Linked DNA regions of Macaca mulatta. The protein of the gene in region 6 interacts with the protein of the main gene of each other region in a pairwise test. Links are inferred from orthologs where the notes say so. Each region holds a gene or a part of one and is shown on either strand. Other genes may lie near its edges.

Region 1 (3,500 bases), on a different chromosome or scaffold from region 6:
AAAATACAGGATCTCCAAAATATCTCAAGCACTGACCTCAGGTTTCACAACAGTGACCCCTAAACCGTGCTTTCTAATCTTGTAGCTAATTTGTTAGTCCCACAAAGGCAGTCTAGTTCCCAGGCAAGAAGAGGGTTTGGCAAAGGGCTATTATTGTCTTTTTTTCAAAGTCAAACTATAAAATAAGTTCCTCTCAAAGTTAGTTTGGCCTATGCCCAGGAAGGAACAAGGACAACTTGATGGAGTTGGTTAGATCATATCTCATTCACTGTCATAATTTCCTCAGTTGCAACTTTTGGAAAGGTGATTTCACTCTGCTGCCTTGCTTGATTTCAGTTTAAGTAACTCTCCAAGCAGACTTCTGTATTGTGGAATGAGACAGGTAAGTAATTAAAACCTGCATTTGGCATTCTTTAACATATATACTGTTAGATCATTCATCCTAACACAGCCTCTACCTATACTTTCATTTGCCTTTGTCTTGCTTTCATTCATTAGGAGTGTGATTTAAAAAAAGAAATACTGCCTTGGACTAAAGCTTCATATTCTTGGTCTTAGCCCAGGATTGAAATATTTGAAATGCTTGTGGTAAGTTGGCTTGCTTATTTTTACATATTTTGCCTTAAAATGTACCTATATTTTTATATTCCATATTCCAAATATATAAAAAGGAGTATCTAATGCATCTTTAAAACGTACTGAATCAAAACACATTTTGTGGTTGTCCTCATTCATTTCTCATCTGCTCATTTTTAGTCACAGAAATTCATCTCATTTTCAATTCGTGTCATTTCTAAAGCAAAGCAATTTTGGTGGGTATCCTTGCCAGCCCTCTTCATATTCTCTTCTCCCTTTGTAAAATTTTCCTTAACTATAATTTGTTATGGAACGAGATTTTAAAAAATCATTGCAGTGATCCAATTAACTCATTGTCAAGACAGAAATGTATTTCTGAAAGCAAATTTCTATTGCCTAGTTCTTACTAAGCACAAGCTCAGGTCTCTATTCTGCCAAGGCCTATAAATTGTAAAGCTGTGTGCAAGGGAAAAGGGAGTCTTGGGATGTCACCCCATGGAACTTACCAAGCACTAGTCCATCTCTTGGAAACTCCCATCTCGAGTCATAAGGCAGCTGCATTGGGTCCACATAAATATATTCATGTCCATCTGGGCTGATTGATTCAATGACCCTCCAGCGAATTTCATACCTCGGTTTCTATAAACGACCAGGACAGGTAACTGGTGAATTACCAAAGTCCCAGTGCACCAGAGCTTCAATGAAGCTGCACAGTGACTGGACACAGTAGAGTCCAACAACGTTCACTCCACATATAATTACTAAGCTCCTTCTCTGTGCCAAGCACTGAGCCAGGTTGCTGTTCTTGTTCTCATTGGCTTCAAAGATCTTTAGTTTTATAAGAAAATATCTACCTGTTTCCAAATGACAACCAGGACAATGAGTGAGATAATCACAATCACCAGCAGCACCAGGACTGCGGCAGCCACCGTGAGTTCAGAACGCAGGGCTACGTGACAAGAGAGAGAGGTACAATGAAAAGTTTCCTGGCAGACATGCATGGGGGCAGCAAGGTAGTGTGGCTGTGTCTGAGCCAGGAATCTCTCACTGCTGGTGGGGAAATGTGAGGGCTGTCTGGTTCATTTTAGGGATAGGAAGTACCATCTCTCAAACTATCTACACCCAGGAAACTACATCAACTCTTTCCTTATACAAGAAGGGGACAAAATTCAATCAGGAGAACTCAGTATTTTCTCCAAAGTTGCTCCAACAGTAACCTTGTGGACAGAATTTGAATAGGAAAAATAAAGATGGATAAATGCAATTGACAGCTACTATATGGACAGACACTTCTACTTCATATGCTTTATTATAAAGCTTATTTTGTAAATTGCATTTTGCTTATATTGCTTTTGGCTTCATCCATCTTTTAAGGAGCAATGAGACAGAAGATCCTTCTTCCCCACACTGCATCCACATACACAGACATTCAAAGTAGAAACTGTAGCTATATTATTAGACAAGCAAAATGTTGAGGAGCCTCTGCAAAATGCTGTTTTGGATCTGAATCTAAAACAAAGTCGTAGGTAGAGGTTGCAGTGAGCCAATATTGTGCCACTGCACTCCAGCCTGGGCAACAGAGCAAGACTCTGTCTCAAAACACAAAACAAAATAAAGCAAAGTCCACATGCCTGCCTTTAAGAGCATTCATAACTGAATTTCTGCCTTGGGACCTTCATTTCTATATGACTCCTATTTGGGATTCAAAGTTCCGCCTGGGGGAAATGGGGCTCAGCTGATGAGTTGTCCTGACTGTTGAGGAACTCACTGGGAGCCACCAGCTTCAGCTCTCGGTTCTCAGCTCCAAGGAGATTCTTAGCCAGGCATCTCACCGCAATGGTCTCTTCCACTTTGGCAAAAGTCACAAGGCCCTCCACGGTACTCCTGTCTCGGGGGTGGATCTCCGTGATGATGTTTGAGACATTGTTGGCCAAAATCGTCCAGGAAGTTTCATTATTACATCTAGAGAGAAAAAGGGCCTAAGTATAGGGCCAATTCCTGAGAGTCATGGCAATGAGTGGAGCCAAGGGAACACTCTAAGATGGCAAGGTGTTGGGATCTTGTCTACATTTTGGGGCACTACACACTGATTTATTTTACATGCAGATGAACATTAAAACTTGTCTGCATGTGCTAAAGAGGGCATAATTCACACATGAACTGAAAGTGTTTACATAGCAGGCAGAGATAAACAAGTTTAATAAAATATGACTACCATTCCCCAATCTTGAACCATGAGCCAAGTGAACAGTTCAATTTCAACCATATTTAATTATCTCAATCTCCCACACCTTCAAAAAGGCCTGGAACCCTTCCTTCTCAACACCCACTCTGGGAAGAGCCCCTAAGGTGTCACTAGGGTTGCGATGATCCTCTGATTGAGTTATAAGAGCTAGATTCCTGCTCCACACTGGAATCTACTAGAAACTCCAGTCAACATCCAAGTCCATCCTTAGCCCTAGGAGAAGTTAAGATGAGGAGTCTCTGTCTAGAGGAAGAAACAACTGAGGCTTCTGAACACAACCAGTTACCAGGGATGAAGTGTAAACACACCGCTCACGTGCCCATTTAAGAAGGCTGAGAACTGGGAGGAAGGAGGAGGCACTGGCGAATTAACCCACCAAACAGCAGGTGGGCAGATAAGGGACTAAGCAGTCACATTTATGTTTACATGCAGTCCGACCACCAAACAAAGTTCACCAAATAAGGTATGTGAGCCAGGGTAGTAAAAATCTTCTTAGGACAGTGGTTCTTAAAATTCACTCTTTTTTTTAGATTGGAGACACTTTGAAGGTCTAATGAAAGCCATGGACCTTCTCCTTACAGCTATTTGTGACAAAAGATACACACCCTGAAGCTATCACACCCACAACCCTATCTTATAGTCAATAAGTAAAATGTATTTGACATCATTTGTGTCAAGG
Region 2 (4,289 bases), on a different chromosome or scaffold from region 6:
CAAATCAGATATATGATTGGCTAGTGTTTGAACAAGGCGATTTGGCTAACTATGATTGGTTCCCGCCATTTCTGATATTTTGGTTCAAACTTTGAGGCGGGAGAGCAGGTTTATGGCAGCAAGAGTTTATCTTACTTAAACACGTCTTGTGACCTTGCCTCAGAACTTACAAAACCTCTGGTATGTGCAAAACAAAATCTCTGGTACGTGCAGAAAACCAGGTACTCACAGAACTTACGAAATCTCTGGTATGTGCAAAGATTAGAGAGCAGAACAAGGGTGTAGCGGGTGGGGGGCGGGTACACATCTATCTTTGTGTCCTTTCACTAGTATTACAAAGCAAGCGCTGCATGCCAGGCTTACATATACTGCTAACATGTCTACTTTTTGTTTTTTTGAGATGGAGTCTCGCTCTGTCGCCCAGGCTGGAGTGCAGTGGCCGATCTCGGCTCACTGCAAGCTCCGCCTCCCGGGTTCACGCCATTCTCCTGCCTCAGCCTCCCGAGTAGCTGGGACCACAGGCGCCCGCCACCTCGCCCGGCTAGTTTTTTGTATTTTTTAGTAGAGACGGGGTTTCACCGGGTTAGCCAGGATGGTCTCGATCTCCTGACCTCGTGATCCGCCCGTCTTGGCCTCCCAAAGTGCTGGGATTACAGGCTTGAGCCACCGCGCCCAGCCACATGTCTACTTTTTGCAACAACCTCTTGAGGGTGAGACTATCATTTGCCTGTTTCACTGAAAAGACAGTGAAGACCGAGGCCTTGTGTGATGGTGCTGAGAGCTGGGCCTATGACGTCCAGCCCTGTAGTCTGTGCTCTGAACCACTTCACTCTGCTTCTTTCTCCATCCTCACAACAGAGAAGTCATCTAAGAGGAGCTTGCAAGTCCGGAGGGCTTCCTGGAGGAAGTGAGCTGAGAATAATATAAAATTAACCAGACCAAAGGGCATTCCAGGAAGAGGGAATGGTACCTGAAACTGCCCAGGAGTAGCAGGGAGCCAGGAGGCGTGGGTCATGGCAATAATCTATGTATAAAGAGCTATGGGAAGCTATAGGAAAATTTAAGGGAGTGGCTGACACAGTCAGATTTGTGTTGTAAGTATCACTCCCCAGGTTGCGCAGAGAACAAATGAGGGAGCCGAAGGAAGGGGTTCTCCTATCCACTGCACGGTACTGCGCAGAAGACAGGGGAGCCAGGCATTCCCTGAGGGGTGAAAAGCAAGCAGTAGAGCTGGGTAGTGGACTAGAACTTAGAAGCCTGGCCTGGAGCCTGGGTGGGGCGAAAGAGGAGGAGCCTGAATGGGGTGTGTATAGGGGGTGTGTGTAGGGGTGTGTGTATAGGCTGGGGCGGGGTCCCTGGAGTGGGCTGACTGGGTCGGCGGCGGGTCTCCAGGTGGGCGGGGCTCTTGGCCACCTCCCCCGCCGGCCACACCTCTCTCCGGCTCGAGCTGGGCCAGGAGGGGTGGGCCCGAGGGGGCGTGGCAGGAGGCGGGCGGGCCCGAGCAGGAGGGGCGGGCCCGAGGGGCGGGGCAGGAGGTGGGCCGCCCGCGGCCACGCCGCCGTCGCGGGTACATTCCTTGCTCCCGGCTGAGGAGCGCTTGGGCTGTCTGCGGACCCCGCCGGGTGCACGGGTCGCGGCCGGCTGGAGCTGGGAGTGAGGCGGCAGAGGAGCCAGGTGAGTAGGAGGCAGGCGACCAGGACCCTGTGCAGGGCGCGGAGTCACGCAGGCTCGAGGTGAGCCGGAACCCTTGCGGGCCCGGGCTGCGCTCCCAGCCGCCAGGGGGCGAGCGGCGGCGGGGCTGCAGGGACTGCCCCTCCCGGCGCAGGGGACCTGGGCGTCCGCCGGGCGGCAGGGGGTGGAGGGGGCGGTAAATCAGTAACCCGCAGTGCACACAGGGCCTTTTGTCCCGCTCCGTCCAAAGAGCACCCTGGCCGCGGAGCTGGTTACTCATTGCCCACCGAGGCGGGGGCAGGCCGGCCCTGTGCAGCTACCCTCGGGACCCATTGATTCGCACCTCCCCCCAGGCTGGCCCGGCAAGGGTGGGGGAGGACAAGCTTGTCCCTGCGGCTGTCTTCGCGCCGGCGGCAGAGATGAGGGAGCTGAGGCCCCGAAAGTTTCAGTCACTTAGCGCCCGGGGGCCTCCACCGCGAGTGCGGGAGGCTGTCTGATGCCTAAGGCAGGCCCTCTGTTCCCACGTGTGGGGTGGTCGGTCAGCGGTCAGCAGCCACGGGTGACTTTTCCACGGACTCTGATATCAGGGCAGCCTGGGGTAGGAATAAAATCCCCGGGCCTCCCCAGCCACTCCCAGCCCAAGCTGTGTACTCAAAGAGCTGCCCTCCCTGCCAAGCCGAGCTTGGTAGGGGGTTTTACCAAGGGGGATCCAACTGGATTTGAGAGTTGAAGTGGCCTCAGAGACAGCAGTATCTGAGTCAAATAGAGAAGAGGAATGGGGGGCACAGAGGGATGGGCAAGAGAGCATATGTGACCAGTTTTGAGAGCCAATGGCTTCAGCGCTCCTGAAGGGACAGACGGTGTGACCAAAGAGATAGGCAGCGGAACAGAGGGAGCCCTAGGATGCTGAGCTGAATCCTGCTGGGCACAGGTAACCATTAAGGGCTTGCAAGCTGGGGGCATGACATGGCAGACTTGTAGTTTTTTAAAACTCTGCTGGAAGATGAAGGTTGAAGAGCCCAGGGAGAGGATGTTTCCAAAGGCCCATGCAAGAGATGGCCATGACCTGCCCTGAGTCAGGGCAGGGGAAGCCAGATGGACTGGAAGTGGAGTGGCAGTGAGCAAGGGTAAGGAGGTGTGATAGGCTTCCCACACAGGGTAGATCCAGAGACACCAGTGCCACCCATAGGCCCCTAGGACTGCAGTGATCACAGTATTCCTTTGTCCCAGCTGAGACTCGGTTCTGAGTGTTCTGTTTTGGGGAACAGAGGTGTCCTTGGTAGCATTTGGAAGAGGATAGCCAGCTGGGGTGTGTGTACATCACAGCCTGACAGTAACAGCACCCGAACCAGAGGTGACTGGCTGAGGGCAGACCCAGGGCAACAGGTGAACAGTTCTAGGGCCGGGCACAGGGAGAAGAACATTCCAACACTCTGTGTGCCCAGTGCCGATGCACGTTGTCTCTTCTATCCTCAAAACAGTCCTATGAGGATAGTAACCCAGAGAGAGACAGAGACAAGGAATTACAAGTTGATGAGAGTCGGGATTTGAACTTGGCTCTGGTGGATGGATAATTACGGTCTGTATTCTTTACAAAACCGTGTGTACCTCGGATGGAGTTGGTGCATGACAAGCAGAGGTATTCAGGGATGCGGTCCTGCTTGCTACGGAAGGAGCTGCCTTGTCAGTGGTGGGCGCCCAGCTCTGGAAATGTCAGTAATGCTATAAGGAGTGGGGATTGGATCAGATAACATCCAGATGCTGAAGTTTGGCCTTGTATCATTTTTCACTTTGTTTTTTGGCTCTTCGGCAATCAATTCATTTATTCAGCAAAAAATAAATTACGTGTGCCAAGAGCATGCAGAAGATAGTCTCCGTTCTCTGCTTCCCTCCAAGAAAAGAATCCCAAAACTGCTTTCTGTGAACGTGTGCCAGGGTCCCAGCAGGACTCAAGGAGAGCAGGAAGCCCAGCCCAGACCCCTTGCACAACCTACTGTAGGAAGGCATCAGGCTCTGGCTACAGCAGAGCTGGTTCCAGTCTGCACTGCCACAGCCTGGCCAGGGACTTGGACACATCTACTGGCCACTTCCTGTCTCCATTTCCTCATCTGCAAAATAAGGGAAAGCCCCCGCAAAGGTGCATGTGGAGCAGGAGCTCTTTTCCCCCCCTATTCTAGGAAGGCAGTTGGTGGGAAGTCCAGCCTGGGCCCCTGAGAGCTGCGGGAAGGAGATGCGGCTGCTGTCGGCCCTCTTGGGGGTCCTGCTGAGTGTGCCTGGGCCTCCAGTCTTGTCCCTGGAGGCCTCGGAGGAAGTGGAGCTGGGTATGGCTTCTGAGGGGGGAGAGGGTGGCAGGGGTGGGAAGAGTGGGCACCAGGAGGGGGCTGCTGGGCTGAGCAAAGCTGGAAAGGATCCTTGCCCAGGCCCTGAGAAAGTGGCAGCAGGGCAGGGCTCAACCACTGAGACTCAGTCAGTGCCTGGCTTCCAGCAAGCATCCATGTATCTCTGTGTCTGCGAGAGAGGACTGGCCTCGCAGGGTGCAGGGCCCTAAGCTGGGCCGCAGAGCTGGTGGTGAGCTCCTTGCCTGGGTGTGTGCGCGCGCGCGTGTGTGTGTGTGTTCT
Region 3 (3,500 bases), on a different chromosome or scaffold from region 6:
GCTGGGAGGATTGAGTCCCATATCTGAAGTCCCTTGATACACTGGCATCCCCGCCTTATGGTTGAAGGCCCTGAGCCTGATGAAGGGATGTGCTCAAGGCTATGGAGCTTGCACATGGCTATTTGTGCCGCACGAGCTGGTGATGTCTGGCAGGTACTGAGCACCTCAAATATTGACCTTGGGAAGATAGAGATGAGTGAATGTGGCCCCTGCTCTCAGGAGCTGATGGCCTCATAGGAGTGAGATGCTGAAAGGAGTCACTGGAGTGAAGCAACAGTGCCACTGTGGCGAGCACCTGTAGCAGGTGTGGCAGGTGCAGGAGCAGGGCTGGACAGCATTGAGAGAGAACCGAGAGCACATGGGAGGCTGGGCCCAGAGTCAAAAGGTCTCCATGTGTGTTGGGCCCAGGCCCTGGAGCTCATCCTGGAGCTCCTAGGCTGGCATTGAAGGTCAGGGTGGTCAGCATAGCAATAACAGTGTGGGAGGGGAGGCTGTGCCAGAGGAAGCTCAAATAGAAGCAGAGGCAATCCAGGCAAGCATTGGGGACGGAGCAGTGAGGCTGGAGAGGACATCATGAAAGGTGGCTACCTGGAAGAGCAGGCAGCTCTGAGACTTGAAGGGTTTCCCAAGGCTGAGAGTTCTCACCTTGGAAAAGCTTTGCAGTTTACGTGCAGCGGGATTTCAGTGTGCATGCAGCATGTACATACCCACATGTAACTGCACACACACGCAGCACATGCCCTTCCTCCACCCGTCCTGGAGAATGCACATTTCCAGTGCTGAGACGCTGCCATCCCTGTTCTGCTACATTTGTTCTTTTAGAAAAGTTCCGGACCTTTGTGAAGTATGGTTTGGGAGAAGAAAACCAAACAAAGGAGCTTAAGTCCAGGTGGCCCTGTTCTGTTTTGTAGGACTTTGTGTTTTATGCCCCCCGCCTGAGAATTAACAAGCGGATCCTGCAGCTCTGCATGGGCAACCACGAGCTGTACATGCGCCGCAGGAAGCCCGACACCATCGAGGTGCAGCAGATGAAGGCCCAGGCCCGGGAGGAGAAGCATCAGAAGCAGCTGGAGCGGTGAGCGTGGGAGGCCAGAGCAGGGGCCTGTGTTTTCCCAGCTCAGCTACCGCCAGCCCTGCCTGCTGAGGCAGCCAGTGCCTGTCAGGTGACCGCGCAGCTGATGGGGAGAGCCTGGTGGAATGGAACTCAGTCGCCACACTGGGATCTTCGAGGCCTTTGTCTCTGGGAGGTTGCTGTGGTGCTGAGTCTGGTGTCAGCCCTGGAGTGGCTGCTCCTTCAGGCAGCTCAGGCTGGTGGCAGGCCAGGGTGGCCCTCAGGATGCCAAGTCCATCCTGGAGCTGCACATACCCGTGAAGTGTGTTGACCCCTCACTTTCCTGCCAGTCTAAATCTCCCTGTGCCTCTTTTTCCCTGCACCAGGCAACAGCTAGAAACAGAGAAGAAAAGGAGAGAAACTGTGGAGAGAGAGAAAGAGCAGATGATGCGTGAGAAGGAGGAGCTGATGCTGCGGCTGCAGGACTATGAGGAGAAGACCAAGAAGGCAGAGAGAGGTCAGGCGCCCTGGGGCTGGCTCTCTACACTGGGTCATGCATTTCCACAGGGGCGGGGGCCACACCCACCCAACCACTGGAAAGGAAACCAAGAACATGTCCCACACTGCAGACTCACAACCGAAATGATAAAATAGTTATTTGGTTTGGAAAACAATTCTGTAGTTCATTAACTTTGGTGCTCATTGTTCTAAGACATTGTATTTTAAAATTTCCCTAGTCCTTTGCAGTAAGTGCTCCATCACCCAGTTTCCCTGATGAGTACAGTAAGGTTTGGTGCGGTACAGTGATCTTCCCACAGTCCCACAGCCCATGAGTGACAGGGCCATGTTGCACTGTCATTGACCTCTAGACTAAAACCCAAAGGCTTCTTCAGAACCAGACTCCCCAGCACAGCTCCAGTCGACAACCCCAGCAGCTGGGCTGATTACATAAGGTGCCACAGATGCTGTGTTCACTGGCAGCCCTTAGCACAGATGGGAAGGGTGTTTGTGTTCTGAGTGGAGTGTGGGCCACCAGCACAGCGGGCGGCTGACCTGGGGAGAGTTAACGCCAAGAGGGTTGAGTCAGGCATGCCAGAAGGTGCCTGGCCCACCACGTTGGATGGGTTTCTAGCCATCTTGAGGAAGTTGTCATGCAAACAACAGCAATGAGCTGTGAAGTGCTTTCCTCCAGGGTCACTGGAAGACATCCCCCCTTGACCTGTGACTTGGTCTAGGGCTCTGTGGCTTTGGGGGTGCAAATGGAAGGCGAAGGCGAAGGCGCCTAGGTTCCTGGGCCAAGGGCTTGAACGGCTCTGGCTTTGTGTCTTCTCAGAGCTCTCGGAGCAGATTCAGAGGGCCCTGCAGCTGGAGGAGGAGAGGAAGCGGGCGCAGGAGGAGGCTGAGCGCCTAGAGGCTGACCGCATGGCCGCGCTGCGGGCTAAGGAGGAGCTGGAGAGACAGGCGGTGGATCAGATAAAGAGCCAGGAGCAGCTGGTAGGAATGGCCTGAGTTTCAAGATGCTGAATTATAGAGAGGCTGCTTCTGAGGATGGAAAATGTGACACCTGCCTTGTAATAATTGTCATGACTGGAAGCTGTAAGCTGATCTGCTGGGGAATGAAGCAGCTGGCGGGGAAGGGGCCGGGCTGTTGCCAGGGTCACCCGTTGAAGGTGGGTGTGGGCATCCAGGAAGTGATGGTAGGGAGGGTGCACGATGAACCCTGCTAGCCATGAAGTGGGGGTGACGGGGACTCAGATGTCACAGTGGAGGCTGCTCACCAACACACATTAACACTCATTCACAACTGGACTCTTGAAAGGATATCAGAAGTCACTTTAGCTTGGCATTCCCTTCCCAGGCTGCGGAGCTTGCAGAATACACTGCCAAGATTGCCCTCCTGGAAGAGGCGCGGAGGCGCAAGGAGGATGAGGTTGAAGAGTGGCAGCACAGGGTGAGTCTGCATGGGGGAAGCCGCACGGCCACGGCACCTGTTGCCCACTGCCTGGGCAGTGGGCCCTTCTGCAGGTGGGTGGGTTGGGGGAGAGGTTTGGCTCAGCTGCCATGTCCTACTGGAAGCTTCTGGGAGTCTCACGATCCTCTGCCGATACCAGTTGTATTACTGAAGTAGACATCCCCGGCCGGGCGCGGTGGCTCAAGCCTGTAATCCCAGCACTTTGGGAGGCCGAGGCGGGCGGATCACAAGGTCAGGAGATCGAGACCACAGTGAAACCCCGTCTCTACTAAAAATACAAAAAATTAGCCGGGCACGGTGGCGGGCGCCTGTAGTCCCAGCTACTCAGGAGGCTGAGGCAGGAGAATGGCGGGAACCCGGGAGGCGGAGCTTGCAGTGAGCCGAGATCGCGCCACTGCACTCCAGCCTGGGCAACAGCGTGAGACTCCGTCTCAAAAAAAAAAAAAAAAAAAAAAAAAAGACATCCCCAAAGAGATG
Region 4 (3,500 bases), on a different chromosome or scaffold from region 6:
AGGAGATGGGGTCAGAGAGGTGATGGAGAACAGACAGTTTTGGGCCTTCTGGGCATGGGAAATACTTTGGCTTTTACTCAGAATGGGATGGGAGCCTCAAAAAAAAAAAATGGGACATGAACTGATTAGGGTTTTAACCAGTGTCTGGCTGTCATGCACAGAAAGGACTGTTGAGGTGGCGAGGGTCGAAGCAGGGAGGCCGAGGAGATGCCACCACAGCCCAGGCAGGAGGGTATAGTAGTAGCAGTGGCAGTGGTGAGGAGAGGGTCACACTCCAGAGCTGATGGAAGGCAGGACTGACACCACAGTTTTGTTTTGTTTGTTTTTTTTTTTTTGAGACAGAGTCTCACTCTGTCTCCCAGGCTGGAGTGCAGTGGCCGGATCTCAGCTCACTGCAAGCTCCGCCTCCCGGGTTTACGCCATTCTCCTGCCTCAGCCTCCCGAGTAGCTGGGACTACAGGCGCCCGCCACCTCGCCCGGCTAGTTTTTTGTATTTTTTAGTAGAGATGGGGTTTCACTGTGTTAGCCAGGATGGTCTCGATCTCCTGACCTCGTGATCCGCCCGTCTCGGCCTCCCAAAGTGCTGGGATTACAGGCTTGAGCCACCACGCCCGGCCTCACACCACAGTTTTGGGGTAAGCAGCTGTGGAAGGGTGGATGGGGAGATGTGGAGAGAGCAGATGTGGAGCTCCCCAGTGTCCCCATGCATCTGTGACTGTGTCTCCATCTCCCCAGCTTCCCGGAAGGCCCTGAGCGGCTCCATGCCATCAAAGAGCAACTGATCCAGGAGGGCCTCCTAGATCGCTGTGTGTCCTTTCAGGTAAGGCCCCCAAGCCAACACTCTGGGTAAAGGGCAGGGAGCTGACCTGACCTGGGCTCAGCCCATGCCTTAACCCTTTATCCCGCCTTTATTCCTCATCTCTCCCCAGGCCCGGTTTGCTGAAAAGGAAGAGCTGATGTTGGTTCACAGGTGAAGGCTTGGGAGCCTTGTAGGGATGGGGAGGAGCCTGCCCTGGACAAACCAGGGCAAGCTAAACGCTTTGGGAAGGAATGTCATGGTTTCTGTGGCCAGCCTTGGGCAAGTCGCTGAGCCTCTCTGAATCTATGTCATCGCCTGTAACAAGGGAACCAGTAAACTTAAGTTCCTCAGGAGAGTTCGATGTGTGTCAGGTGCTTAGAACAGGGCCTGATGTATCATCAGTCCATCATGAGCTATTACTGTTATCATGATCTGATTGAACAGATGGTGGATGTGTGGACAGAGTGATCGGTTGGATGTGTGGATGTGTGGACAGAGTGATGGTGGGTGTGTGGACAGTTTCCCCAGGGGCTGCAGGAACCCAGATTTAGAGGCCTGGTGCTGTGTGGCTCGAGGAAAGCTAGCTTGGCAGAGTGGGTATCTGAGCTGAGCTTTAAGAGGAGAAAAAGAGTGAGTCAGATGAAGAGGGTGACTGAGGGAAGGGAAGAACAGACAGCTAGACAAGAGTGGCCAAAGGCCTGAAAGTAGGATTTGGTATGGCTAGAGCAGGGGAGCAGAGAATATTACTGGAACTGAGGCGGGCTAGGGAAGAAACAGAATGTATCTTAAATCCCGGCTATTCCTTCAGGTTGACAGTTGGGGGAGCCGAGCCCTAATTTGACCAGGGGTTTGGTGTGTGGACGGCTCAGGTGGGGAAGAGACAGGGCCCTGAATCTCATCTCCCATCTGTGTCTAGCCTAGAATATATTGATCTGATGGAAACAACTCAGTACATGAATGAGGGAGAACTCCGCGTCCTAGCAGACACTTACGACTCAGTTTATCTGCATCCGGTATGGATGAGAACTGTGGGGGCAGGGAATGGTGGCAATCTTGGGGTCCCTATCCCTATGCCCACCCCACCCTGGGGCAAGCAGCTGAGTGGATAGGGCTGTTCTCTCCCTCACTCCCTCTCTGGCTCCCCACTGTCTCTCCAGAACTCATACTCCTGTGCCTGCCTGGCCTCAGGCTCTGTCCTCAGGCTGGTGGATGCGGTCCTGGGGGCTGAGATCCGGAATGGCATGGCCATCATTAGGTAGGACTCTCCAGCATTTGACTTTTTACATTGTTTTAAAGTCTTTCCTTCAAGTGTAAAATGTATTGATATGGGTAATATATTCATGTGATTCAAGAATCCAAAGGTACAAAAGAGAATATAATTAAAAATCTGTCTCCCATCCTTGTCATCCAGACACCTGCCTCCTCTCATGGGAGGTAGTCATTGGAACCACTGACTCATGTGTCCTCCCACAAAGTCTTATTCAAGAAATAAATACCATATTTCATTGATTCTAAGGTGTACATTTTTTCATATCTGTAACATCTTGAAATCCAGATGCATCTTACAAACAGTGACATCTCAGAATTCCATTGGCAGTATTTTCTGCTTTGTTTTTGGCATGTAAAATCATGGTACATCTTATCATCGTTGGCATCCCAGAATTGATGAAATGCAAAAGGTTTCTCCTCCCTCCCCTGTTTTTAACCACAAATGGTAGTAACACGACATACTCCCTTCGTACCATCTTTTCACTTACACATCTTGGAAACCTTTCTCTGACAGCATGTATCTTGGAGCCCGGTAGAACACCATTGTGTAAATGTACTCTTTGTTAATCAGCTCCCGACTAATGGGCATTTTGGTTCTCCTCAGTCATTTGCTGTTTTAAAAAAAATGCTACAGCAGGCCGGGCGCGGTGACTCAAGCCTGTAATCCCAGCACTTTGGTAGGCCGAGATGGCTGGATCACGAGGTCAGGAGATTGAGACCATCCTGGCTAACACACTGAAACCCCGTCTCTACTAAAAAAATACAAAAAACTAGCCGGGCGAGGTGGCGGGCGCCTGTAGTCCCAGCTACTCGGGAGGCTGAGGCAAGAGAATGGCATAAACCTGGGAGGCGGAGCTTGCAGTGAGCTGAGATCCGGCCACTACACTCCAGCCTGGGCGACAGAGCGAGACTCCATCTCAAAAAAAAAAAAGAAAAAATGCTACAGCAAATATACTAGTACCTTTATAAAAATAAAATGTTATTTTATACTAACATAAAATAAAAATGTTACTTCACCCTTTTTAAAATACAGGTTGTGGGCTAAGTTCCTGCAACAGAGTGACTGGGTTTGAGAATGTATGCATTGATCATTTTATTTTTATTTTTATGTATTATTTATTTTTTGGAGACGGAGTCTTGCTCTGTCACCAGGCTGGAGTGCAGTGGCGCAATCTTGGCTCACTGCAACCTCCGCCTCCTGGGTTCAAGTGATTCTCCTGCCTCAACCTCCAAAGTAGCTGGGACTACAGGCGCCCGCCACCACATCTGGCTAGTTGTTTGTATTTTTAGTAGAGACAGGGTTTCACCATGTTGGTCAGGATGGTCTCGATCTCTTGACCTCGTGATCCACCCGCCTCGGCCTACCAAAGTGCTGGGATTACAGGCGTGAGCCATCATGCCCGGCCTTTATCATTTTAATGAACATTTTCAA
Region 5 (4,006 bases), on a different chromosome or scaffold from region 6:
GGCCACCCCACCCCACCCCCTTCCTTACAAGTGTTCAGCACGCTCCCATCCCACACTCACAAACCTGGCCCTCTGCCCTCCTACCAGAGAAATGGATACCCTGTGGGAAGGGGCAGGGGGCCTGTTCCCACCATGTGCCCAAGACCTCTTTTCCCACTTTTTCCCTCTTCTTGACTCACCCTGCCCTCAATATCCCCCAGCGAAGCCAGTGAAGGGGAGTCCCTGGCTCCTGGCTCGCCTGCACGTCCCAGGGCGGGGAGGCACTTCCGCCCTCACGTCCCGCTCTTCGCCCCGGGCTGGATGGAGTGAAAAGCACACTGTCTCTCACCCTAGGCAGCACAGCCCACGGGGCTCCAGGAGTGACTTTGTGGGAGGCCTCTGGGCCCCCACCAGCCATCCTGTCCTCCGCCTGGGGCCCCAGCCCGGGGAGAGCCGCTGGTGCACACAGGGCCTGGATTGTCTGCCCTAATCATCAGGTCCAAGCTACAGGGCTGCAGGACATCGTGACCTTCCGTGTAGAAACCTCCCCCTCAAGCCGCCTCCCGAGCCTCCTTCCTCTCCAGGCCCCCACTGCCCAGTGCCCAGGCCAGGCCTCGGTCCCAGAGAGGCCAGGAGCCAGGAGATGGGGAGGGGGAAGTGGGGGCTGGGAAGGGCCCACGGGCCCCTCCTAGCCCTTTGCTTCAGCTATTCCGGTGTCACTACCGCAGAGCCTCGAGGAGAAGTTCCCCAACTTTCCCGCCTCTCAGCCTTTGAAAGAAAGGGGAGGGGGCAGGCCGCGTGCAGCCGCGAGCCGTGCAGGGCTCGGGCTCCAATTCCCCATCTCAGTCGCTCCCAAAGTCCTGTTTCATCCGTGCGTGTAAGGGCCCCCGTCCTTGACTCCCTAGTCTCCTGCTGCCCACACTCCAGTCCTGGGAAGCAGCACCGATCACCTCCCATCGGGCCAGTCTCAGTCCCTTCCCCCCTCCGTCGGGGCCCACACGCTTGATGCGTGCCCAGTTGAACTAGGCGGCTGCGGAAAAAAAAAAAGAGCAGGGAGAAAGCAGGGCCCCGCTACTCGCGGTTTTACGGGCGCACGTAGCTCAGGCCTCAAGTCCTTGGACTGGGACTGGCTGAGCCCGGCGGGAGGCGGGGTCAGAGTCACCGCCTGCCGCCGCGCCCCCGGGTTTCTATAAATTGAGCCCGCAGCCTCCCCCTGCGCTCTCTGCTCCTCCTGTTCGAGAGTCAGCCGCATTTTCTCTTGCATCGCCAGGTGAAGACGGGCGGAGAGGAGCCCGGAGGCTAGGGACGGGCCTGAAGGCGGCAGGAGCGGGCGTGGGCCGGACGTGTTCGCGCCGCTGCGGGGTGGGCGCGGGCCAGGGTCCGGGTCCGGGCCCGGGCTGCCTCCGCATTGCAGGGGCGGGCGGAGGACGTGATGCGGCGCGGGCTGGGCATGGAGGCTGGTGGGGGGAGGGGAGGGGAGGGGAGGCGTGGGTGTCGACCGGGACCACTAGGCGCTCACTGTTCTCTCTCTCCGCGCAGCGCATCCCTGAGACACCATGGGGAAGGTGAAGGTCGGAGTCAACGGGTGAGTTCGTGGGTGGCTGGGGGGCCCTGGGCCGCCCGCAAACTGCGTCTACGAGCCTTGCGGGCTCCGGGTCTTTGCTGTCGTATGGGGTAGGGTAGCTGCGTCCGGCAAGGAGAGCTCAAGGTCAGCGCTCGGACCTGGCGGAGCCCCGCACCCAGGCTGTGGCGCCCTGTGCAGCTCCGCCCTTGCGGCGCCATCTGCCCGGGGCCTGCCTTCCCTAGTCCCCAGGAACAGGAGGTCCCTACTCCCGCCCGAGATTCCATCCGACCCGGACCCCTAGCTGGGGACGCTTTCTTTCCTTTCGCGCTCTGCGAGGTCACGTGTCGCAGAGGAGCCCCTCCCCCATGGCCTCCGGCACCGCAGGCCCCGGGATGCTAGTGCGCAGCGGGTGCATCCCAGTCCGGAGGCTGCGCCTGCGGTAGAGCGGCCGCCATGTTGCAACCGGGAAGGAAATGAATGGGCCGCCGTTAGGAAACCCTGCCGGTGACTAACCCTGCGCTCCTGCCTCGGTGGGTGGAGTCGCGTGTGGCGGGGAAGTCAGGTGGAGCGAGGCTTCCCGGCCCCTGCTCTCAAGTCGGCCCCTGAGCTGCAAGCCCTATTTCCCCTCCGGGTGATGCTTTTTCTAGATAATTCTCTGGTAAATCAAAGAAGTGGGTTTATGGAGGTCCTCCTGTGTCCCCTCCCTCCAGAGGTGTGGTGGCTGTGGCTTGGTGCCAAGCCGGGGGGAGCTGAGTCATCGGTAGTTGGAAAAGGACATTTCCACCGCAAAATGGCCCCTCTGGCGGTGGCCCCTTTCTGCAGCGGCGGCTCACCTTATGGCCCCCCTCTTCCCCTGCCAGCCTAGCGTTGACCCCACCCCAAAGGCCAGGCTGTAAATGTCACCCGGAGGATTGGGTGTCTGGGAGCCTCGGGAAACCTGCCCTTCTCCCCATTCCGTCTTCCAGAAACCAGATCTCCCACCGCACCCTGGTCTGAGGATAAATATAGCTGCTGACCTTTCTGTAACTGGGGGCCTGGGCTTGGGCCGTCTCCCATCCCTTCTCCCACACACATGCACACACCTGTGCTCCCACTCCTGAATTCTGGAAAAGAGCTAGGAAAGGACTAGAAGCTTGCAAATTAAAGCCCTGGGACTAGGGGGTTAAAAAACAACTTCCCCTCTTCCCCCGGCCCAATCTCTGTCCCTTTTGTAGGCGGGTCTTAGAGAAGGGGTGGGCTTGCCCTGTCCAATTAATTTCTGACCTTTATTCCTGCCCTTTGAGTTTGGTGATGCTGAGTGTACAAATCTTTTCTCCTTAAACGGTGCAGTTTGAGGCTGAGCTAGGCAGCAGCAAGCATTCCTGGGGTGGCATAGTGAGGTGCTGAATGCCACGTGCAAAGCTTGTGCCCAGACTGTGGGTGGCAGTGCCCCACATGGCCGCTTCTCCTGGAAGGGCTTCCTATGACGGGGGGTGTTAGGCAGCAGTGGAGCCTTCAGTTGCAGCCATGCCGTAAAGCCAGGCCAGCCTGGCAGGGGAGCTCAAGGGAGATACAATTCACCTCTTAATGGAGGTAAGGAGATGTTGGGGGTAAGGAGATGCTGCATTCGCCCTCTTAATGGAGAGGTGTCCTAGGGCAGCTCACATACTGTGGAGAAGCCTCCCCTCCTCATGCCTTCTTGCCTCTTGTCTCTTAGATTTGGTCGTATTGGGCGCCTGGTCACCAGGGCTGCTTTTAACTCTGGTAAAGTGGATATTGTTGCCATCAATGACCCCTTCATTGACCTCAACTACATGGTGAGTGCTGCCCCAAAGCTGATGTGGGAGGAGCCACCTGGCTGCCAGGCAGCCCCTTCACACCCTTGCGTATTCCCCCAGGTTTACATGTTCCAGTATGATTCCACCCATGGCAAGTTCCATGGCACCGTGAAGGCTGAGAACGGGAAGCTCGTCATCAATGGAAGCCCCATCACCATCTTCCAGGAGTGAGTGGAAGGCAGTGGGAGAAATGTGCTGTGGGGGGCAGCTAGGGTGGTGCGGCTCCCTTGGGTACATGGTAACCTCGTGTCCCTCAATATGTCCTATCCCTGTCTCCCCCACCCCATAGGCGAGATCCCTCCAAAATCAAGTGGGGCGATGCTGGCGCTGAGTACGTCGTGGAGTCCACTGGCGTCTTCACCACCACGGAGAAGGCTGGGGTGAGTGCAGGAGGGCCCGCGGTAGGGGAAGCTGGCTCAGCCCTGCAGAGGCAGAACCCGGGTTTATAACTGTCTACTTCTCTGCTGTAGGCTCATTTGCAGGGGGGAGCCAAAAGGGTCATCATCTCTGCCCCCTCTGCTGACGCCCCCATGTTCGTCATGGGTGTGAACCATGAGAAGTATGACAACAGCCTCAAGATCGTCAGGTGAGGAAGGCAGGGCCAGTGGAGAAGCGGCCAGCCTGGCACCCTGTGGACACGCTCCCC
Region 6 (3,500 bases):
TGATACGACTTCTCCAGAGAACGGTTTGGCAACACCTACGAAATATTATCTATGATGCAGCAAATTCTCCTCTGAATACAGACCGTACATATTGCTTGCAAATGCTTTTGTCACTTAACAGAATCTTGCAGTGTTTTTCCATGTTCTAATACCGTGATCTGGATCTAGGATCCATATGGATCTGGACCCATATTCTCTTTTTTTTTTCTTTTCTTTTTTTTCTCGAGATGGAGTTTCGCTCTGTTGCCCAGGTTGGAGTGCACTGGTGCAATCTCGGCTCACCGCAACCTCCGCCGCCCAGGTTCAAGCAATTCTCCTGTCTCAGCTTCTCAAATAGCTGGGATTACAGGTGCCCACCACCACGCCCGGCTAATTTTTGTATTTTTAGTAGAGACGGGGTTTTGCCATGTTGGCCAGGCTGGTCTTGAACTCCTGACCTCTGGTGATCTGCCTGCCTCGGCCTCCCAAAGTGCTGGGATTACAGGCGTGAGCCACTGCACCCAGCCCGGACCCATATTCTTTTAATTTTTCTCATTTAGTTGTCTTTAAATTGAAACGCATGAATACATCCTTGTGATAAACATTGCCAGCACTATATACCCTAAAAATGCCAATGTGTGGACACTAGGGGGCATACAGAAGAATGCTCACTTGTGTATGGAGCTCAATTGCAATAAACTGCGAAAACAGGGAAACAAGCTCAATATCCCTCAAAAACAAAGTGAAATTACATCCATGTTATAGGTTGAATAATTAAAAAAGAATAAAGATGGTAGATCTGTCTGTACTCACAAGAAAGGATACCTCAAGTCGGAGGGAAAGTAAACTGCAGAATAGTATGAAGAGAATGATCCCATTTACATTACAAAATGTACACGCACACAAATCTGATGACAAGTGGAACTATATGAAATTGCTGTTTCTTGACCTTTTTTTTTTTTTTTTTTGAGACAAGAGTCTTGTTCTGTCATCCAGGCTGGAGTGCAGTGGCACAATCTAGGCTCATTGAAACCTCCGCCTCACGGGTTTTCTCCTACCTCAGCCTCCCGAGTAGCTGGGATTTCAGGTGTGCATCACCATACCCGGCTAATTTTTGTATTTTTAGTAGAGACAGGGTGTCGCTACGTTGGCCAGATTGATCTCGAACTCCTGATCTCAAGTGATCCGCCTGCCTCAGACTCCCAAAGTGCTGGAATTACAGGTGTGAGTCACCGCGTGCCCATTTTTGGTTTACACAAACAGCAATCTTATTTGACTCAACCTAATATAAATGTAGTGTGTCTATATAAGTGTGCAGAAAAGAGCCCAGAAGGATGAACACACAAGTCAATGCGGTGGTTCTCCCAGCCCACAGGAGAGGCTGGGTGGACAGGGAGTTGAGTGGTTTTGTAACATTTATACTTTTATGTTACTGAAAATGTTTATCACAAGGATGTATTCATGTGTTTCATGTGTAAAGACAACTAAATAAGAAAAATTAAAAGAATAAGGTAGATCACCATGTTAGAACATGGAAAAACATTTCAAGGTCCTGGAAAGTGAGAAAAAGCAATTTGCAAAAACAATATGAACTATGATTCTATTTGGTAAAAAGAAATATATGACTGGGCATGGTGGCTCACCCCTGTAATCCCAACACTTTGGGAGGCCGAGGCTGGCAGATCACCTGAGGTCAGCGGTTCAAGACCAGCCTGGCCAACATGGTGAAACCCCATCTACTGAAAATACAAAAATTAACTAGGCAAGGTAGCATGTTCCTGTAATCCCAGCTACTCAGGAGGCCAAGGCAGGAGAATTGCTTGAACCCAGGAGGTAGAGGCTGCAGTGAGCCAAGATTGCACCACTGCACTCCAGCCTGGGTGACAGAGTGAGACTCCATCTAAATATATATATATATATGTGTGTGTGTGTGTGTGTGTGTGTTAGAACGTGCACAGATAAAAATAACTGGAGAATAATATTAATGTATGTTAACTTATATATACATATTAGAATGTGCACAGACAAAAATAACTAGAGGAAAAATATTTCAAATTATTAACAGTGGGGATAGAACTGCTAGGGCATTAATTTATATTTCATGTTTTAATTTTACCATTTTAACAATGTGTTATTTTTATTTTTATTTTTTTTGAGATGGAGTCTCGTTCTGTTGCCTAGGCTGGAGTGCAGTGGCGCAGTCTCAGCTCCCTACAAGCTCCGCTTCCTGAGTTCATGCCATTCTCCTGCCTCAGCCTGCCGAGTAGCTGGGATTACAGGCGCCCACCACCACACCCGGCTAATTTTTTATATTATTTAGTAGAGACGGGGTTTCACCGTGTTAGCCAGGCTGGTCTCAAACTCCTGACCTCAGGTCATCTGTCCGCCTCGGCCTCCCACAGTGCTGGGATTATGGGCGTGAGCCACCGTGCCCGGCCCCAACGATGTGTTATTTTTGCCATCAGAAATAAGATATGATAAAGGGAGAGTTGGTCCCCTTTTATAGTAAGAGCCCCAGAGAGACCCCTGAAAGGAAAGTCCTCCTTTCTGCAGAAAAGACCCTCAGACTCACGAGTGGGTGCAGTTGATGGGGCAAGGCTGGCACGTGCCCTCCTCATCTGGAAACTTCCAGATGGGCATGTAGGAGAGGTCAGGTTTCACACCGCTGGGGCAGCGGGCCACGCAGAAGGGAGGGTCCTTATAGTGGGCACAGGCCACACACTGGTCAGCCTCCTGGGAGGGGCAGAAAAGGTTTGTAGGGGGCTAGCACTGACACCCCCAGGGCAGTAGGATCAGGCCCTTAGTTGGGTCCCCTTTGTGCTTCCCAAGGCCACCCAGCAGCAATTTTCACCATGCTCCTGGGACAAACACCTCTGCTCTTCACCCAGTCTCTGTGGACCCTCCCTCGGGGCCCTCCTCCAAGCTTGATCCTGGGCGGGGACTTGAGCCAGAGAATGGGAGGCACCCAGAGAAGAAAACGCATTACCTAAGGTGTAACAGCGAGTAACAACAGTCACTGCTGCATAGAAAGCCTTTCCCGGGCTTCACTGTGCCAAGCCCTGTTTAATTTCATTCTCACCACACCCCAGCAAGGTAGGTACTATTACAATACCCATTTTAGGAATAAAACACCAAGGTTGGAAGCAGGACCTGGGTCTGAATCCAGGTAGTCTGACGCCTGAGCCCGCAGGGCTAACCACCCTAGCACAGCCACAGCCACAGCCGCAAACGCAGACCTCCTTAGAACCTTTTCATAGTCTGAAGGGCCCCAGGGTCCCCCGGGCCCCCTTTCCTGCCACTCTGCTGCTGTTCGGGTCTGAGTGCTGAGCCCTCTCCAGGGATATTTTACCAGACGGCACACCCTGCCGTGTCTCGCCATCCTGCCAAGTCCCTGGCAATCCCCCTCGCTGCACCCCTCCACCCAGCTCTGAGCCCGCCAGCAGCTCACCGGTCCAAAACATGTCACTGAGCCATTCTGGGGCTGACACTCAGGGTGGCACGGCAAACAGTGTCTGGCATTC

The links.
Region 1: the proteins of ERBB2 (region 6) and PDGFRA interact in a protein complementation assay, tested with the Homo sapiens proteins (2 studies listed by BioGRID, with this or other methods). The link is inferred for Macaca mulatta from reciprocal best matches to the Homo sapiens genes ERBB2 and PDGFRA.
Region 2: the proteins of ERBB2 (region 6) and FGFR4 interact in a protein complementation assay, tested with the Homo sapiens proteins (2 studies listed by BioGRID, with this or other methods). The link is inferred for Macaca mulatta from reciprocal best matches to the Homo sapiens genes ERBB2 and FGFR4.
Region 3: the proteins of ERBB2 (region 6) and EZR interact in a protein complementation assay, tested with the Homo sapiens proteins (2 studies listed by BioGRID and IntAct, with this or other methods). The link is inferred for Macaca mulatta from reciprocal best matches to the Homo sapiens genes ERBB2 and EZR.
Region 4: the proteins of ERBB2 (region 6) and HDAC6 interact in a protein complementation assay, tested with the Homo sapiens proteins (2 studies listed by BioGRID and IntAct, with this or other methods). The link is inferred for Macaca mulatta from reciprocal best matches to the Homo sapiens genes ERBB2 and HDAC6.
Region 5: the proteins of ERBB2 (region 6) and GAPDH interact in a protein complementation assay, tested with the Homo sapiens proteins (2 studies listed by BioGRID and IntAct, with this or other methods). The link is inferred for Macaca mulatta from reciprocal best matches to the Homo sapiens genes ERBB2 and GAPDH.

What each region holds. Positions count from the first base shown.
Region 1 is NC_133410.1:79,224,984-79,228,483, forward strand, and holds part of PDGFRA (platelet-derived growth factor receptor alpha), read right to left. Parts: intron 2,539-3,500; coding exon 2,345-2,538; intron 1,526-2,344; coding exon 1,431-1,525; intron 1,216-1,430; coding exon 1,083-1,215; intron 1-1,082. UniProt on the Homo sapiens protein: Tyrosine-protein kinase that acts as a cell-surface receptor for PDGFA, PDGFB and PDGFC and plays an essential role in the regulation of embryonic development, cell proliferation, survival and chemotaxis.
Region 2 is NC_133411.1:186,050,394-186,054,682, forward strand, and holds the start of FGFR4 (fibroblast growth factor receptor 4), read left to right. Parts: upstream 1-1,489; 5' UTR 1,490-1,674; intron 1,675-2,016; exon of another isoform or gene 2,017-2,602; intron 2,603-3,848; 5' UTR 3,849-3,901; coding exon 3,902-3,992; intron 3,993-4,289. UniProt on the Homo sapiens protein: Tyrosine-protein kinase that acts as a cell-surface receptor for fibroblast growth factors and plays a role in the regulation of cell proliferation, differentiation and migration, and in regulation of lipid metabolism, bile acid biosynthesis, glucose uptake, vitamin D metabolism and phosphate homeostasis.
Region 3 is NC_133409.1:77,632,686-77,636,185, reverse strand, and holds part of EZR (ezrin), read left to right. Parts: intron 1-911; coding exon 912-1,075; intron 1,076-1,437; coding exon 1,438-1,568; intron 1,569-2,384; coding exon 2,385-2,545; intron 2,546-2,909; coding exon 2,910-3,002; intron 3,003-3,500. UniProt on the Homo sapiens protein: Probably involved in connections of major cytoskeletal structures to the plasma membrane. In epithelial cells, required for the formation of microvilli and membrane ruffles on the apical pole. Along with PLEKHG6, required for normal macropinocytosis.
Region 4 is NC_133426.1:48,883,169-48,886,668, forward strand, and holds part of HDAC6 (protein deacetylase HDAC6), read left to right. Parts: intron 1-735; coding exon 736-820; intron 821-929; coding exon 930-970; intron 971-1,715; coding exon 1,716-1,812; intron 1,813-1,956; coding exon 1,957-2,054; exon of another isoform or gene 2,055-2,109; intron 2,110-3,500.
Region 5 is NC_133416.1:7,484,595-7,488,600, forward strand, and holds the start of GAPDH (glyceraldehyde-3-phosphate dehydrogenase), read left to right. Parts: upstream 1-1,206; 5' UTR 1,207-1,249; exon of another isoform or gene 1,250-1,341; intron 1,342-1,518; 5' UTR 1,519-1,535; coding exon 1,536-1,564; intron 1,565-3,239; coding exon 3,240-3,339; exon of another isoform or gene 3,340-3,362; intron 3,363-3,420; coding exon 3,421-3,527; intron 3,528-3,649; coding exon 3,650-3,740; intron 3,741-3,830; coding exon 3,831-3,946; intron 3,947-4,006. UniProt on the Homo sapiens protein: Has both glyceraldehyde-3-phosphate dehydrogenase and nitrosylase activities, thereby playing a role in glycolysis and nuclear functions, respectively.
Region 6 is NC_133421.1:64,070,491-64,073,990, reverse strand, and holds part of ERBB2 (receptor tyrosine-protein kinase erbB-2), read right to left. Parts: coding exon 3,428-3,500; intron 2,966-3,427; coding exon of another isoform or gene 2,864-2,965; intron 2,713-2,863; coding exon 2,552-2,712; intron 1-2,551. UniProt on the Homo sapiens protein: Protein tyrosine kinase that is part of several cell surface receptor complexes, but that apparently needs a coreceptor for ligand binding. Essential component of a neuregulin-receptor complex, although neuregulins do not interact with it alone.